Linked DNA regions of Arabidopsis thaliana. The protein of the gene in region 1 interacts with the protein of each later gene in a pairwise test. Each region holds a gene or a part of one and is shown on either strand. Other genes may lie near its edges.

What was found. Proteins that work in one complex are often made in the same cells at the same time.
Region 2: the proteins of KNAT7 (region 1) and PAP1 interact in a two-hybrid assay, tested with the Arabidopsis thaliana proteins (2 studies listed by BioGRID, with this or other methods).
Region 3: the proteins of KNAT7 (region 1) and OFP4 interact in a two-hybrid assay, tested with the Arabidopsis thaliana proteins (2 studies listed by BioGRID, with this or other methods).

What each region holds. Positions count from the first base shown.
Region 1 is NC_003070.9:23,335,030-23,341,942, forward strand, and holds KNAT7 (homeobox knotted-like protein), read left to right. Parts: upstream 1-2,137; 5' UTR 2,138-2,438; coding exon 2,439-2,720; intron 2,721-3,618; coding exon 3,619-3,739; intron 3,740-4,293; coding exon 4,294-4,493; intron 4,494-4,587; coding exon 4,588-4,719; intron 4,720-5,178; coding exon 5,179-5,319; 3' UTR 5,320-5,663; downstream 5,664-6,913. UniProt on the Arabidopsis thaliana protein: May be involved in secondary cell wall biosynthesis.
Region 2 is NC_003070.9:21,232,498-21,237,524, forward strand, and holds PAP1 (production of anthocyanin pigment 1), read right to left. Parts: upstream 2,796-5,027; 5' UTR 2,593-2,795; coding exon 2,472-2,592; intron 1,932-2,471; coding exon 1,802-1,931; intron 1,713-1,801; coding exon 1,217-1,712; 3' UTR 1,058-1,216; downstream 1-1,057.
Region 3 is NC_003070.9:2,123,619-2,127,972, forward strand, and holds OFP4 (ovate family protein 4), read right to left. Parts: upstream 2,285-4,354; 5' UTR 2,184-2,284; coding exon 1,236-2,183; 3' UTR 1,058-1,235; downstream 1-1,057. Other genes in the region: AT1G06923 (transcription repressor OFP17-like protein), read left to right, coding at 3,184-3,382, 3,467-3,780; AT1G06925 (endonuclease/glycosyl hydrolase), read right to left, coding at 4,086-4,354.

The sequences.
Region 1 (6,913 bases):
TGGCCTAGTAGTAAGTAGTAACTATTAAAGAAAATCAAATGAGCAAAGTTACATTCAAAGTCATTGATAAACAATAAAACATGGTCATTTTTTACACCAAAAAAAACAACATGATCGTTGCCTACACGTTAATTAACGAGGCATCAAGAATTATAATTTGATGAAATATGCCGTCTGGCGTCTTCATAAGAATACAATATGTTTGATGAAAATCTACCTCTAATCAAATGGTAGTTTTTTTTTTTTTTTGAGGAGTCACATAGCTAGGAAACGTTTTATGCTAGTAATATCACACACGGAAACAATTACGAACCCATGTGTACAAGTGTTTAGGCTTTGAGACCTTAATGAAGTGCCCAATGAGAATTATTTTTAGGTCCACCAAACTCACAATATTATATGGCCCGTACATTAAATCACTAAAACTTAGTATCGTGTCACTAATAGTATCTCATTGTTCTCTGATTAATGGCCGCATTATTATAAGTTTTTTTTTGTGTCAAAAGCATTATTATAAGTTGAGAAGTCGTTTTCATAGGACCACAAATTGTTTCAGATGTGAGATGTCTTAAATCTTAGGCTTAAGAGAACGACAATTCTGTCCCTCTTTTCTTTGTTCGACCAACTCTGTCTTTGTCCCTCTTTATTTTGTTTCTTTCATTTTTCTATACGAACGAATATTTTTGATGTCATTGCGTAAAACAAAAGGGAATTTGTACATAACTACATAAAAAGGGAGAAATGGAAAGTAGTTTTTCCATATTGGTGAAGGCGTGCATTATTCTCTTTTTCATTTAATAATATGCAAAATCCTCTTTTAATTTGTATTTTTTATTTTTGTTTATAGAATATATTATGTGCTATTATTTTAGTTTTTTTTGTGTCATGTATTATTGGCATTATTAAAAATATTTGATCTAATCCTATTACGATATAAACTACATGCAACATATGCAATTACAACGACCAAGGATTCCATTGTTATGATGAAATATTATTTTAGTTTTTGTAATTAATTGCAGTTTTTTTTTTGCAAAAACTTAAGACTACTTGGATGGCTATTGGCTCCAATATGCCAAGCCGGAGGAAAACCAGAAGATTTAAGAATATATTTTTTTAAACGATGAAGTGGAAAAATAATTTTTTTAACGTCCAACATGTATGTTCAGAAGATTTGTAATTCTGAACGGAACTATTACATGACGTTACAAAAAACCATGCCACAAGAGTATCCGGACTTAACAACGTTTCACAACACATCAATTTTTTTTTTTTCAGTTTTATGGATATTTCTGAAATTCTAGCTAAAAACTATTAGTATATATTAAAGTTCATATATCAAACTATTGTTTGTGTGCTATATTAACTTCATATCAAACTAGGAAAAATATGAAAGCATTTTTCTATCTATCAAATAATACTGCAATTAAATTATCAGAGTGTTACTGTTTTAAGGTTATATGACTAAGAAATGGTGCATCAAAGCTGTATCACATTTTGTCCAAAAAAATTTAACTGTATCACGTAATTGAGTATTTAATATTTTAAAAGAATAACTAATTATATTTGTTCTTTACCAAAAGAAGAAAACAAATATACTATATTTCTATACTATTAAATAGTATTATCAATTAGGTGTTAATACTATTTGTTAAGTGGGCGTTAGAGGATTAGGTGTGTCTACCGGTCCTGTCGTTAAAGGTGGGAAGATATTTTATTTTCCTCATTCTTTTTCAAAATTTCAACTAATTTTTAAGTTCAAGTTGTTGATCACTTATTAGGTCTTAAATCATTGTCACGAGAAGGAAAATAAAAGTGTTTTTAATTTTTATTTTAAGTTTACATTTTATATACATACATATACACGTATTTATGATTTTTGTAAAGCACGTTGTTAACGTGCACTTTTTTCATAACTTTACGTCAAGGTATATATCAGCATATTGTGGAATCAAACATATATATAGTAGCAGTTTTCTAGACTAAAGTAATTCAGATTAATTGTAAAGATAACAATCACCGTATAAAACAATCAACGTCCGTGTGTTTGTATTCACATATCTGATGAAAATTAGTAATTCTAGTTTTCAGTCTTTCGATTAACAATACAAAAATAATACTTTCAATATAATTTGATCTATGTAAAAATAATATATGGTATGGCCGGACCAGACCCGTGTATAACAAACATTGTTTTAAATGTATTTTGTATACAAATAAGACAAAATAATCTATAAACAAATAATGTATATTTTTAGAAAAGAATGGAGTGAAAAACAATTAAAGGGGAAAGAAATCAGGACAGCTTTATATAGGTTGATTTCATCTGACAATTCTCTCTCTCTCTCTTTTTCTAATCATACGAACACAATCTGCTTCAAGAATTAGGGTTTTGATCAGACACAAAAAGTATCTCTCTCCGGTCTTGTGTCAAGGTTATGCAAGAAGCGGCACTAGGTATGATGGGAGCCACCGTAGGCGGAGACGGAGACACCGCGGTCGTGGCGGAGCAGAATAGACAGTTGAAAGGTGAGATAGCGACACATCCGATGTATGAGCAATTATTAGCCGCACACGTGGCGTGTTTAAGAGTAGCTACTCCAATAGATCAACTTCCGATCATTGAAGCTCAGCTTTCTCAATCTCATCATCTTCTCCGTTCTTACGCTTCCACGGCCGTTGGATACCATCATGATCGTCACGAGCTCGATAATTTCTTGGTACGTTTGAATATAAATTTATTAGTTATATTTTAAAAAATAATCTTGTTTGGTTAAATTACTTACAAGTTCTGTTTCTATCTTTTTTCATTTGAAAGTTTTTTTTTGATGGTTTCTAGTGGACTAACTTTGAATGAAGTTATGATTACTAACCAATCTCTGTTGGGAAATTATGTTTCAAACAAATTATGTTTTTTTCAATGATTTTCGTGTTTTACTTTTTACAAGATCGTTGGGAGTTTTATCGATCGAAGATGTAAACCTTTTGTCAATATATCAACAATTTCTATAAATTTTATAATTACTAATTCCTCTTGTGGGAAGTTATACTTCAAACAAATTATGTTTTTTTCCAATGATTTAAGTTATTGGTATTTTTTTACCTGATTTTTGTGAAGAAGTGGTTTTGTTCAACTTTCATGGAAATTTATGTATCTTCACACGAATGTTCAAATGTATAATACACACACATAGATGTAGATATGGTTTTTTGTATAGTTAGGTGCTAAATTTCACATAGAGTGAGTCAATGTTAAATGTCATTTTGTAATTAAATTGAAATTCTATTTAAACTTTGAATATTATCATGTTAGTTACGATTGATTTTCTACTCCGACCTAAAATTTGCAATTGCATTAAAGTTGGAATTGATATTGCAACTATAATTTTGGAATTAGCTTGTGAAATGTTCCAAAAAAATTCGGTTTTATTTATATTTATTTAAGTTAGGTAGAAAATAGGACTATATAATGATCTAACCGCTCAAAACACACCACACCAGAAGCACATATTTATATGTGTGTATGCATATATGTGGAAAATGTTTACACATTGAATAATTATATGAAATGTGAGAGGATATATAAAACATTTAACAATTATAATTAATTGGAAACAGGCACAATATGTAATGGTGTTGTGTAGCTTCAAAGAACAGCTGCAACAGCACGTGAGGGTTCATGCCGTCGAAGCTGTTATGGCTTGCCGTGAAATTGAGAACAACCTTCATTCTCTTACAGGTTCTTTTCTTTTCCACTTTTTTAATGGTATTTTTTATAACCCAATTAAAAAACATAACTTCATGATAATTACATGTTATTATATATACCACATAGCTATAGAATCAGAAAGTACTTAAGATATATATAATTAAAATTCCTGTTAAAAATTAGCGATAGTTAAAACAAATAATAGAGTTAGGTATATCTAAAGGTTCTTGCTGATCATACCAGATATGAACAACTAGTAAACATATTAAATGTAAGGTGTTGGAAGATGATCAGGAAGAGTATATTATATGCCCACACAATAAGAAATAGAGATTTTATTTGTGCTTATATAGTTATATTATATGATTAGTCTAAAGATGAAATTTCTTAATTATACGAAATTATTAAAAATATTTATTTTTGCACTGATGACCACGTAAAGCGTGGGATGTATTGATTAGGATTATTGTATGCGTAAGGGCATATCAGGCTTGAGCCTAAGTTTGGGCTTGGGCTTGACGTCTAAATCTTGTAGTTTGACTGTTGGAGTAACATTTCGTTTAAAACGTTCTGTATTCTTGTAGGAGCAACTTTAGGAGAAGGGTCGGGTGCGACTATGTCGGAGGATGAGGATGATCTTCCGATGGATTTCTCGTCAGATAATTCCGGCGTTGATTTTAGCGGCGGCCACGATATGACGGGATTTGGTCCGTTGCTACCGACTGAATCGGAAAGATCCCTTATGGAAAGAGTCAGACAAGAACTCAAACTAGAACTCAAACAGGTATAATTAACTAATATGTTATGATTCACAATAGTAATACAGTTATTTTACTATTTATTTTCTTGTTATGACGTTTGTTTATTTTTCGGATAAGGGTTTTAAATCGAGAATCGAAGATGTAAGAGAAGAGATAATGAGGAAGAGAAGGGCTGGGAAATTGCCAGGAGACACAACTACTGTCTTGAAAAATTGGTGGCAACAACATTGCAAATGGCCTTACCCTACGGTGAGTACTCTCTATATTTTACGAACAACAAATATAGTTTCCGTCTAATTGTTTGTTTGGGTTTACGTTTTCATGAAATAATATGATAATCATTATAACATGAAACAACAAATGAAGATAGATATGTAAATGCAAAGAAACAATCAAGACCCATTTTGGTTACACTCAAAGTCACAACATGCATTTTTTTTCTATTCTTCAAACATACTGAATTTGTTACTAATACTCAAAAACACTATACATCTCTCTCCCGTTCAATATTTGGCACAAGCCAAAAAGGTGGACTACAGTCTAAAGTTGCATGCTATAGTGGAAAAGAAATAGCCTTTGACGCTATCAGATCTGCACATGCATTGGCCTCTCTTCGTTGAAACTGAAACTGATTGTTTTTGTTTTCTTTCCTAAAATGTCATTAACAACAACAAATTTATAATGTAAAAAAATATGTGTCTTGAACAGGAAGATGACAAGGCAAAATTGGTGGAGGAGACAGGATTGCAGTTGAAGCAAATCAACAATTGGTTCATTAACCAACGCAAGAGGAATTGGCACAACAACTCTCACTCCCTCACTTCCTTGAAGTCCAAGCGCAAACACTAATCTCTTCTTACTATATTAGTTACTACCTCTACATATATTCATACTAATTACACTGCTAAGACATGCATGATACATACGTAATTCATGTTACTGATAATAACGAGGTGTGATCATTAATATCATGTACTTACTTAGCTTATTAGATCCACCGACTACTATATGATTTGTGCGTTGCGTGATTACTGGTTGTTACTAGATTGTAATTCATTTTGTTTGTATTGTGCATTCAAATTTATCTTTTTGGTAAGAACACTGATTTTGTAACGTGTTTTCCGTGGATGACTAGACCATCATTTGGAAATATAAAGTAATGATGCCGACAAAAAAGGCAGTGTTTTATAAAATATAAGCCATATCATAATATCTTTGGACCGATCAATGAAAGAAATCGTCCATAAAAATGGATTAGTTTAATTCCAGTTTAGATTATTGGTATTCTCAAAAACTAATTAACGTATAGTTTTCTAGTTCTTTATTTGATACCAAGATTTGTGTAACTTAATATTTTCAAACGAGTTTACAAACACAACTAGACCGAGAAATAGATATATGATGTATTCATTAAAAAAGAAAAAATAGCTCTTGAGATTGAGAACTTGGGATCTTACTATCTTAGAAAAGTCACCACATGCCGCCATCATTTGTCCACTACGATTCAGACAGAAGATCCGATCTGTTTATATATATATATATAAAAGTAAAGACATTACTTTATGCCTTATGGTAACCCCCGATTACTATAACATTAAACTACTAATTAATTTGACAAAAGAAGTTGGACTGACTGCTTAATAAATGAATGTTAGTGACATACGTATATATTTTCGATAACGTGTATGGTATTTAAGGGCAGGGGGATTTGTACATTTGGAGTTTTATATGCTTAATATATCAAATGTTGTATAGATCCAGATCTTTGGTTTAAACCTCATTAGTTTCGATGTCAAATCAATTACAATATATATAGAAACTTTGCAATTACAATATTTAGTACCAAAAATCGGTGGAATTATGTACATATGAATATGATATAAATCACTACATTAATTTGTAATTGAGATGTATCTGTATATTTATTGAAATGATACTATGTTTAAAGGGTTACCGATTCGTTAACGGGTTCTTTTGCTAAGTTAGCTCTTTGATCTCATAAGATTCGGATGCTTAATATAATATACGCATTTATAGTCGATAATTGTGAATTGTAAATTCAAAACAGTAACGTGTTTTAAGTGTTTTTTTCTTTTTCTTCGAACTTTTTAATTTTCACTATTAAAAAATAGTATGAGTAGTAGTTGACCAGAAAAAGGGTGGTAAAAAGAAAAAAAAGAGATTCTTTAATTAAAATTGCAACGAATAATACATATTTTAAATTCAGACACCCAATGAAGTGGAATCTCCTTTGTGTTTAACTAATAATTTCTCACGCCACCGCTTTCACAGATCTCTGTCTAAAATTCAGACAACAATAAACTATTTTAAACACACAAAACCACTACGAAACACAATAATTCATGTTTAGGGTGATCTGTCACATATTATATTCATATATTGAAATAATTTTTTGTTATTCCTACTAACACATTTTTTTCAA
Region 2 (5,027 bases), 2.1 Mb from region 1:
ATTTAAAAACAAATAGAAGAATTTATCTATTAATTTTCCGTATGAAATTATCGTTTAAATATTTAATAGATATTACTTTTATAATTGAGGGTTCTTATAGATTTTGGAACCATATAAGTATTACATAAAATAATTCATGCATGATCGTCTATCGCATGATTATTAGTCTTACACATTACGACCTTCTAAAATCTCATCCTACTACCGTTCTTGGACCAGACTAGCTAGTTGTTATGCAAATTATTAAAGTAAACAGTTTTTTTTTAACTATTTATATTATGCTGTAAGTTATATCATTGGTCAAATTATTTTTAATAGATATTAATTTATGTTTATAATGTAAGAAACTCAAGATTAATTAGTTTCTTAAACATTGTGCTTTTATCTAAAACATTTAATATTTTGAAATAGAGGGAGTACAAATTTTTGTATCAGAACTTCTGCGAGTATGGGTTTCAAAAACCTATCTATGATCGTCGTTAAAACTTTATTACTAGCAAGTACGTTATTAAATTTGACAATTGTTATTGACTAATTAATAACTGGGAAATAGGTTTGTTAGTAGTATTGATTTTTTTGTCGTAATCATTTAAGAGTGGAATACGGTTTTGATAATCAAAATCCAGAAACTAAGCCCATATGAGAATCTGCACGTTAACAATCTATGCATTTAAAAATAAATAAAAATAACACTAAAACATGACTTCAGAATATATAAATAAAGCATTGCCTTCTCAACCAAAGTGTTTAGTAATCTAAACATTGTAAAACATGACATTTGCCCAACCATACATGGTCGGTAGAGAAGGTTTGGTACTGAAGGGTAAAACTCCTAAATCCGAGTTCAATCATATTTGAAAACAAAAATGACATTTATTTAGAAAGTTTGTTAGTTGAGTTTTAACCCAATTGGTTTACAATTTTACATAGTGATTAGAAATATAGGCGGTTTGATTTCGGAAAGTATTCTAAACACCGGATACATACCTTTTTCAAAAAATAAGATTTTTTTTCTATTTTTACTGTTGTCATGTAGATAACCAAAAAAAAACAAAAATCTTCAGAATATATTAATATTTTATTTTCTTCAAAATGTAAACACGGAAACTTGAAATATTTCATTAAAATGCTAAAAACTATTAGCTTATTTATCAAAACACACAAATTAAAAGGTGAAAGCAAACCTATACACAAACGCAAACAAATGTTCGAAACACTAATCAAATTTCACAGTCTCTCCATCGAAAAGACTCCAAAGTTGATCAACGTCAAAAGCCAAGGTGTCCCCCTTTTCTGTTGTCGTCGCTTCAGGAACCAAAATATCTACCTCTTGGCTTTCCTCTAGGAATTTCTCTAACCACATATTATCTCCATCAATCAAATTATTCACTAGTTGGTCTTTCTTCTTATCTTTGTTGTATATGATACTATTGTCACAAACATTATTGATGTTAAGTCCAAGGCATGGAGGATTAACGTCAACTTTTGGTGGGGCATTGAGATGGTTGCAGTCGTTGTTAACTGTGAAGGATCGAGGTCGAGGCTTATAAACATTGTTTTTTAGTGCCGGTGTTGTAGGAATGGGCGTAATGTCTCTCTTTTTCATCTTTATCTTACAACACGGTTCATGTTTCTTACTCAGATGAGTGTTCCAGTAATTCTTGACGTCATTTGCGGTCCGACCAGGTAATCTTCCAGCAATTAAAGACCACCTAACAATTGTAAGAAAATATACATATGTTATTAGTATTAACTTATGACGACTCTCCGAGTTAAGTAGTATCGAGGTAACAATTAATACCTATTCCCTAGAAGCCTATGAAGGCGAAGAAGAAGATCGACTTCATCAGAGCTAAGTTTTCCTCTCTTGATACTTGGCTTCAAATAGTTCAACCATCTTAATCTACAACTTTTCCTGCACCGGTTTAGCCCTACAAAACCAATAATTGATTCTTTGATTATACCTACATACTAAGACTGTTTTTTATTTGTCTCCTTCTATATATTTTATCAGGAAGAATCTATGCACACCAATAAAAATAAAGAACTGTTCCAACACAGAAACACGTGTTCATACAAAATTTTCCCACGAATTCATTTACAAGAAGACAAGCGTGTAAAAATTTGAACGACTTTATAGGAGAAGCTAGCAATACGCAACGTAACTAAAATTAGTATAATTTTTTTTCTTTAATTTTAAGTAAAAATCTTCGTTTAGGTGTAAAACAAATACGAACAGCAAAAGAAATTTTCATGCACAACCTTTAATAGCATGTAAAAACAGCATAAAGAAGTTGTAACAATGATTTGTACTCATTTAAACAAATTTTTTTTTTTTTTTTTAATACCGGGTATTAATCAATTTTCTGAATAGAAAATAGAGAGAACGAAGACTATTGGTAGTGATTATAGATATTCATATTTGTGTGTGTGTGTGTCGGTTAGTGTGTGTGTGTTCGTAAATAACATACCAGCTCTTACAGGAACTTGGTGCCATTTGCCTTCTCCATACTTATTAATGCACTGTCTCAAGAGACTATCTTCTTCAGTAGTCCAAGCACCTTTTCGCAGCCCTTTGGACGAACCCTCCATGGAACAAAGATAGATACGTAAAATATATAAACAAATTGTAAAAGGTATAAGTAAATTGGTCAAGGAAGAGGGTATATATAGTATGGTTTCACAAATGATTGGAGGTCTTATAGAGAGTGTGAGTATGTGAGAAAATTTATAAAAACACGTGACGGAAAAAAGGAAGTGACGTGCATGTTTGATATCCACATTTTATGTATTAGCTGTCGTGCTTAATTTGCTAAGTTATTGTTTGGTTACTGATTTGTCCTAGAGAGAAAAGGTTCATAGGATCTAGCAAGTATCTCCATCCTTTTTCAGTACTAAAAACAAACAAACATGTTTCTTAACAAAATTAGGAGAAAGGACGATAGTAATTAATGTTCGGGTATATATGTTTTCAGAAAGAAAAAATTTGGGTATGATTTATCCGATTACAAGATGGAGAAGTTTCATGCACAAGAAATAGGACAGAATTGAGAAAAAGGGTGGATGAATAACAATAAGCTTCATCCGTGTAGTTTGGATAGAGAAATAGGAGATATAAATTTTAATAAGGCTATTTTTTTATATATTTTTTTCTTACCATTTTACCAGTTTTTAGAATGTGCATCTTCACTAGAAATTTAACAAGCATTTGAAGTCTTTTCTTAAAATTAGATATTCTTTTACAAGAGTTGGGAGTTAAGATAGTGTATAGTATGTTCAGTGTTAAGAGTTAAGATAGTGGTATACAAATTTTCTTAAGTATAGTAGAAATAGTACATGTATTGAATATGATTTATCTCTCTAGTTAGTTTTTTTTTTTTTTTTTGGGACAACTATCTCTATAGTTAGTAGTGCCGATTAGAATCATTGTTGGTGCATCTAGTGAGATCGATGTTGTTGATGGGATTGTGTGGAGAATGATCAAAGATTTGATTATCACGGAGATTAGTTTAAGAAAAGCCATATTGGTTCTTAATGATTTACTTCTGGACAGAAGAGAAAAAGAAACACTTATATATAAAACGCCGGTTTATTATCATTTTCTAAGAAAAGCATTTTTAGTCGTACTTTTTGAGGACTTGCAATTTAAATTTATAAATACTTTTAACAAAATTTGACTAGAATCTGATCTCATTTTTCAGTATCTAAAAGTTAGTATTTGTATATTTCTGCTTTCTTGCATGAAAATTTACGTGTACGATGGAAAACCTAGGCGAAATGATATGCTGTAAAGCTAACTAATTGCTTCTTTTTGACGAAATATAATCGTCATGTAGGAGACTTAAGTGTGAGCCCTCTACTCTTGGTTTCTTGCAAGTTAACGAAGGATTTTTATAGACAATGAGCCCTCTACGCTCTAGCTGTTTTAGTTCATTCTATCGTGCACTATAATTGTGTCGTTAATTATGTGTGGACTCGAACCCAAACCTGGTGTAGAAGTATATATATAACCAGGGGCGGACCCAGCAAAAAAAATTGGTGGGAGCAAATTGTTATAAGGAGGAATCGAACCTGTGAACTCTAGTCTTATTTAGATGAATTTGAACCAATTTGCCTCATTAACGTTGATCCGCCACTGTATATAAACTAGAAAGTTGCACACCGGATGGTAGGCTCGCTCTTAATATAGTTTTATTTCTGTAATTATTTTTTATAATTTATGGTTTTGAATAATTTAATTTGTTTGTTGTACACATAAAATTCAAGGCACGTATTAGATACAAACTTTCTGTATGATCATCGCTAATCATGAGCCGAACAACAAACTTTTAATATTAAACATTCGTGGGTTATGTGTTGGGATATGATGGGCTTTATACCACTACTTCTAATACCCATGGTCGGTTCCCTTGATCCAAAATGGTTCTTCTTTTGTGTGTGTTGGGCTCTTAGGCCTTTCGGCTTTGTAAAGTTTTCTTCCTTATGCAATCAATAGCAAATCTTTAATTTAAAACAAAAAACAAATTGATGTTTTATTTTTGATAAATTTGAAATTTTTATGTGGATATTTTAGTTTATTAAATTATCTAAATGCAGTTAACTTTTTTTGTAGTGTTTCTCGTTTATTAAAATAAAATAACTATAATTTTTGATTTCAAAAAATTATTAATATTTTTAAGAGAAAATTAATAGTGAAAATATTTTTAATCTAATGGTTAACTAAGAGTTCATTAATACTTGTACATCATGTTTGGGTTTCGAATCCCAGAAAACGCAATGCAAAACCGTCTTTAGAAAATCTGAGTGTTGCAGGGAAAGCTTTATCGTGGAATCGTTGTCCGTGAAATTGTTCATCATTATTTTTTAACTCTTAAAAACAAGACAACTATGATAAAGTAAATGCATACAATGCTTAAAAATATAACACTTTTTATTTATTAATCAGGTTATTAATCCTACTTTTTTTGGGGAAAAATATTTTTTTTTAAATAAAAGTTTTATTCCATATGTTATATATTATACTAATA
Region 3 (4,354 bases), about 21 Mb from region 1:
TTTAAGACCCATAGAATAGCGTACGACGATGATTGTCTAGTGAATGGTTTTGTTAAGTAAACTAGGTTCCTTAGTCAAATGTAGACGAGCAGTTCATTTCGGTTTCATATTATTTTCTATTACGTTTTCTACTGTCTTGGTGTTTCATTTACGCAATGAGTCGATATCGATTAGGGTTTCGAAAAATTTACCTCAGAGATAAGCAGAGTTGTTTGAATCTTGACCTCAATATCGATTAGGGTTTCGAAATCCTTGTTTGAAAGAGAAGAATAAGAATCACAACGCCTCAAATATATAGCGTTGATAATGGGGCTTCGCTTTAATGGGCCTACAGTTTGTATTAAACCGGCCTTTCCCGTGCACTATATATCAAAATCGAGTTTGGTGTTTCATCATTTAATGTTTATGTTTTGTGGTTTGATCAATTCCCAAGAAATGTCTGTCCATACCGTACTAAGTACTACCAGTATAAATAGATGGTAGAGGAGATGGGCATTGGGAAGCAGCAGCAAAACAGTGGTCCTCATCTTCTTCATCACGACAACAAAGAGCCTTTAGGTTCTTAAAACTCTCTCTCTGCTTTTCCTCTTTAACCATATACTCTTCTGTGTCAGTGTTAGTTTCTCTCTCTAGCGATTTATGTTATTCAGGCTCCATTTTCATGTTTCCTGCTTCATTACTCATTAGGACTGGAACCCATTTCTACTCCGTACTTGATGGGTTTCTGACTTGTCTCCGTGTGGCTTCTTGTCACTACACTTTTGGCCTTTTCTTGACTCTTTTTTTTTTCTTTTGACATTTTCGCTCTTGTTACATAAGTCGTTACCATGACTAAACTCCATCAATCCTAATCTAATCCAAGGTTTATCACTACATGAAACTAATATAATAAAACTCTTTGGATTTGTATATTGTTTCTGAAAATATCACATAAACATTTAGCAGCACATACTGTTTCACATTTTAATTCTAAAATTGAATTATTATCATCCATGAGGCATGTATTGAATAAGTATGTTTTAGTTACTGATTTTTAAATTACTGAATAAGTATGTTCTATTACCTTCACAAACCATAACCAGAGACGAAAAGGAAGCGAGTGATTTATATGTCTTTATCACGTTATTCAGACAACACAAAAACTGGTCTTGCAAAGAAAATCTCCACGGCTACATCAAACTCTTTAAAAGAACTACAATTAACCAGAGATTTAAAGCTTTTGATCATAGTTCATTCTACTTCGATGCAAATGTAGAGTTTATGACTTCAAGCCAGACTTGAACGAAAACCTTGATAATGAGATCATGATACTCCTTGGGATTCAAGGTAAGGTAACATACTAGAAGATCCTCCATGTCGTTAGAGGTTCTGATGTTGTTCTCTGCTATCATCTCCACCATTGATTCTCTGAAATCCTTGCTCGGATCGATAGAACTCTTGATTACTGCAAAACTGTCAAGAATTTGTTTGTTCTGTGATCTTGATTTGCTTCTACGAGGCGAGACTTGAATTCTAGGAGATCTCGCTCTGAGCTTTATCCTTGGAGATTTAGCTGATGATCTTCTTCCACTAGAAACTAATGTTTTCTGATGTTTCTTCTTGGTTCGACATGCATCTTCCTCTTCATCTTCTTTCTCTTTACTGACCTTCACAGAGAGATGATGAGGTATATGTGTTTCCTTGGTTCGGTTACTTGCACGACAGGCTTTCTCCGTTGAATCAAACTTCGTGATCTCTTTGAAAGTTTTCTTCTTGAAATCTCTATTATTCATGTCGATGATAATATCATCTTCAGAAGAAATGACTTTCAAGTTGGAAGAGGCAGAGAGAGAATCATGGCTTTGATGAAATGTTTTGTTAAAACCTGCAGATACAATAGAAGAGGAAGGAGGAGAAGGCTTGTAAACAGTCTTTCTTTTGCTCTGTATGTTGTGAAGAGAGTTTCTTGGTGAAATTTGAAGGATCCTAGATTCAAAGGATGTGCGTGAGCGTGACCTATTGAAGAAGTAAGAAGTTGAAGAGTAAGGAAGAGACTTTGACTCAGAGGAAGGTTTTCTCTTCTTGGTAGTGTTTATGGAGTAAAGAGGAAGAGAATGCTTTTTTCTAGGTTTTGTCATGTTCTTGAGCTTGTGGAACCATTCACTTGGGCTCATAACTGACAATCTTAACTTATAGTTCCTCATCTCTAATTTCAAAAAATAAGTGATCTTCTCAGATAAAAGAGAGAAAAAAAATATGTATAGTTTGCAGAGTTTCTATGTGACAAATAAAAGAGAGAAGAAAGTGTAGAATTGGGATGTAAAAGGGACAAGACGGAACAAAATTGGGATCCACTTCATAGAATGTCTTTGTTTGTACCAAACTCATTCCGGCTTCTCTCCCTAACCGAATAACCAAGTTAAACCAAATCAAATCAAATTTAAATAAAATATCCTATCTAAACCGGTGTAATCGAAATAATTGAGGTGTACGTAGATGAGATTGAGAATTAAAAGGTTTTATTAGACTTGAAAATTGAGCAACAAAGTGTCCTCAAAAATTGTCTGTCGGTAGTAGGTCGATTGGTGGGTATCAATTAGACTAAATAGAATATTTCTGGTAAATTGCTTCCAAAACATAATTCGGCGAACGTGACAAAGGGTTTCAACAAAAGAGGTTAAACAAGATTTCAGGTTCATGTCCAATCTCTTAATATAGCCATAGTCATAGTATATAACAATAATGGTGTAGAAGAAACTGTAGAGAATAATAAAAGACATATTTGCATAAAACTCGGCGTGTCGTCTCCTTTTCACCAATTAGCTTGTGGTCTCCCTACCTCACACGTGTGTGTTTGACCAAAGCTTTTTTTTTTTGGGTCAACGACTCATATTTGAAGCTAGGGTTCGACAAACGAGCGGGGTCAGTCACAACCCTAACGACTACTACTGATCCCAGTAAACACCGATATATTTACCCACTCCTCCTACTCATAATGTGACAATATCTAGGTCAGATTATAGCTTAAAATTAAATTTGCAAAAAACATTCAAATTAAGGCTCAAGTTCATGGGACTCCACCATCACGACTTCGTGTCAAAGGAAAAGACGTGAAACCCACGTAACTCGAACCACCCTCCCAAACCTACACATTATACCACAACAACAACAACAAAGAATAAATCAGCTTCGGAAGGATCGAGAATGAGACTGAAGTCAAGTTTGATTAGCTTGAAATCAAAGCTTTCAAAATCATGCAACAGATTCATCTCCTTCTTCCATGCTCGTTTTCGCAATGTCAATACCACACAATCTTCATCATCTTCTTTGTTGTCTCGTCTCTGTTTTCTCAATACTAATAAGGAGCAGAGGATGAGCCAGATCAGACCCAGAAATTCCCCGTGTAACAACAATTTCTTTTGTAACTATTGTCGATTTTATAGAGTACCTTTGATCTAAATTTTATTCTACAAATATGCCACTGCAGCTAGTCTGATCGATGATTCCAAGCTTCTGCATTCAAGAAAGATGTTTCCTTTGGCTATGACGCAAAGGAACAAGAAAGCGAGGACGAGTCAAAGACATATGTTAAAGGAAGATGGTGTGAAAGAGGCTTGCAGAAGATTCGAGAACTATATGATCCATATGTTCGTTGAAGATGGGAAAATAGATGACTTGATGGACATGGAAGAGCTTCTCTATTATTGGAAGAATCTTAATAGTCCAATCTTCATTGATCTTGTGACTAGATTCTATGGAGAGCTCTGCACTGACCTGTTTCCAAGCGACCATGACGATTAAAGATCATTGAAATGGGTTTTATAATATATGCATGATAACACAGAGCATTGGATACAGAGTAGCTTTCTCTGTGTTCTGTTTTTTTTTTGTAAGTTGTACAACTTCAAGTGACAGGAACTTGATTTTACTACATTAAATCACGGAAATAAAAGATAATAAGAAAAGATTATTAAAGGATGGTACATTTCACATTTCTATTTACCAAGATTTCCGGTAAACCCCAGAATTCAAAAGATGAGAAATCTCAAGGTTTGGTTGCTTCTTCCCTCACCAATGGTAGTAGGCATTATTTCTCCGGAAAATAATCAAGGGGGAGCCTCGTCGTCTTCATAGGTATTATGTGGACGTGGAATCTTAGAATCAGGGGAGTCAATGAAAAGCGAAACCATGTATGTGGGACCTGTTTCAGAAACAACTAAGACTTGAGAAAGAGACTGACTCCACTCTCCAGTGGTTTCAAGGAAATCTCGAGGGACCTCTGATAGTACGCCAACGGCAGTGATGGTGATAGGGCCAGTGTAGTTAAACTTCCTCAAATTACGTTTTATAGACGGACCTACCCGAAGAGCATCAT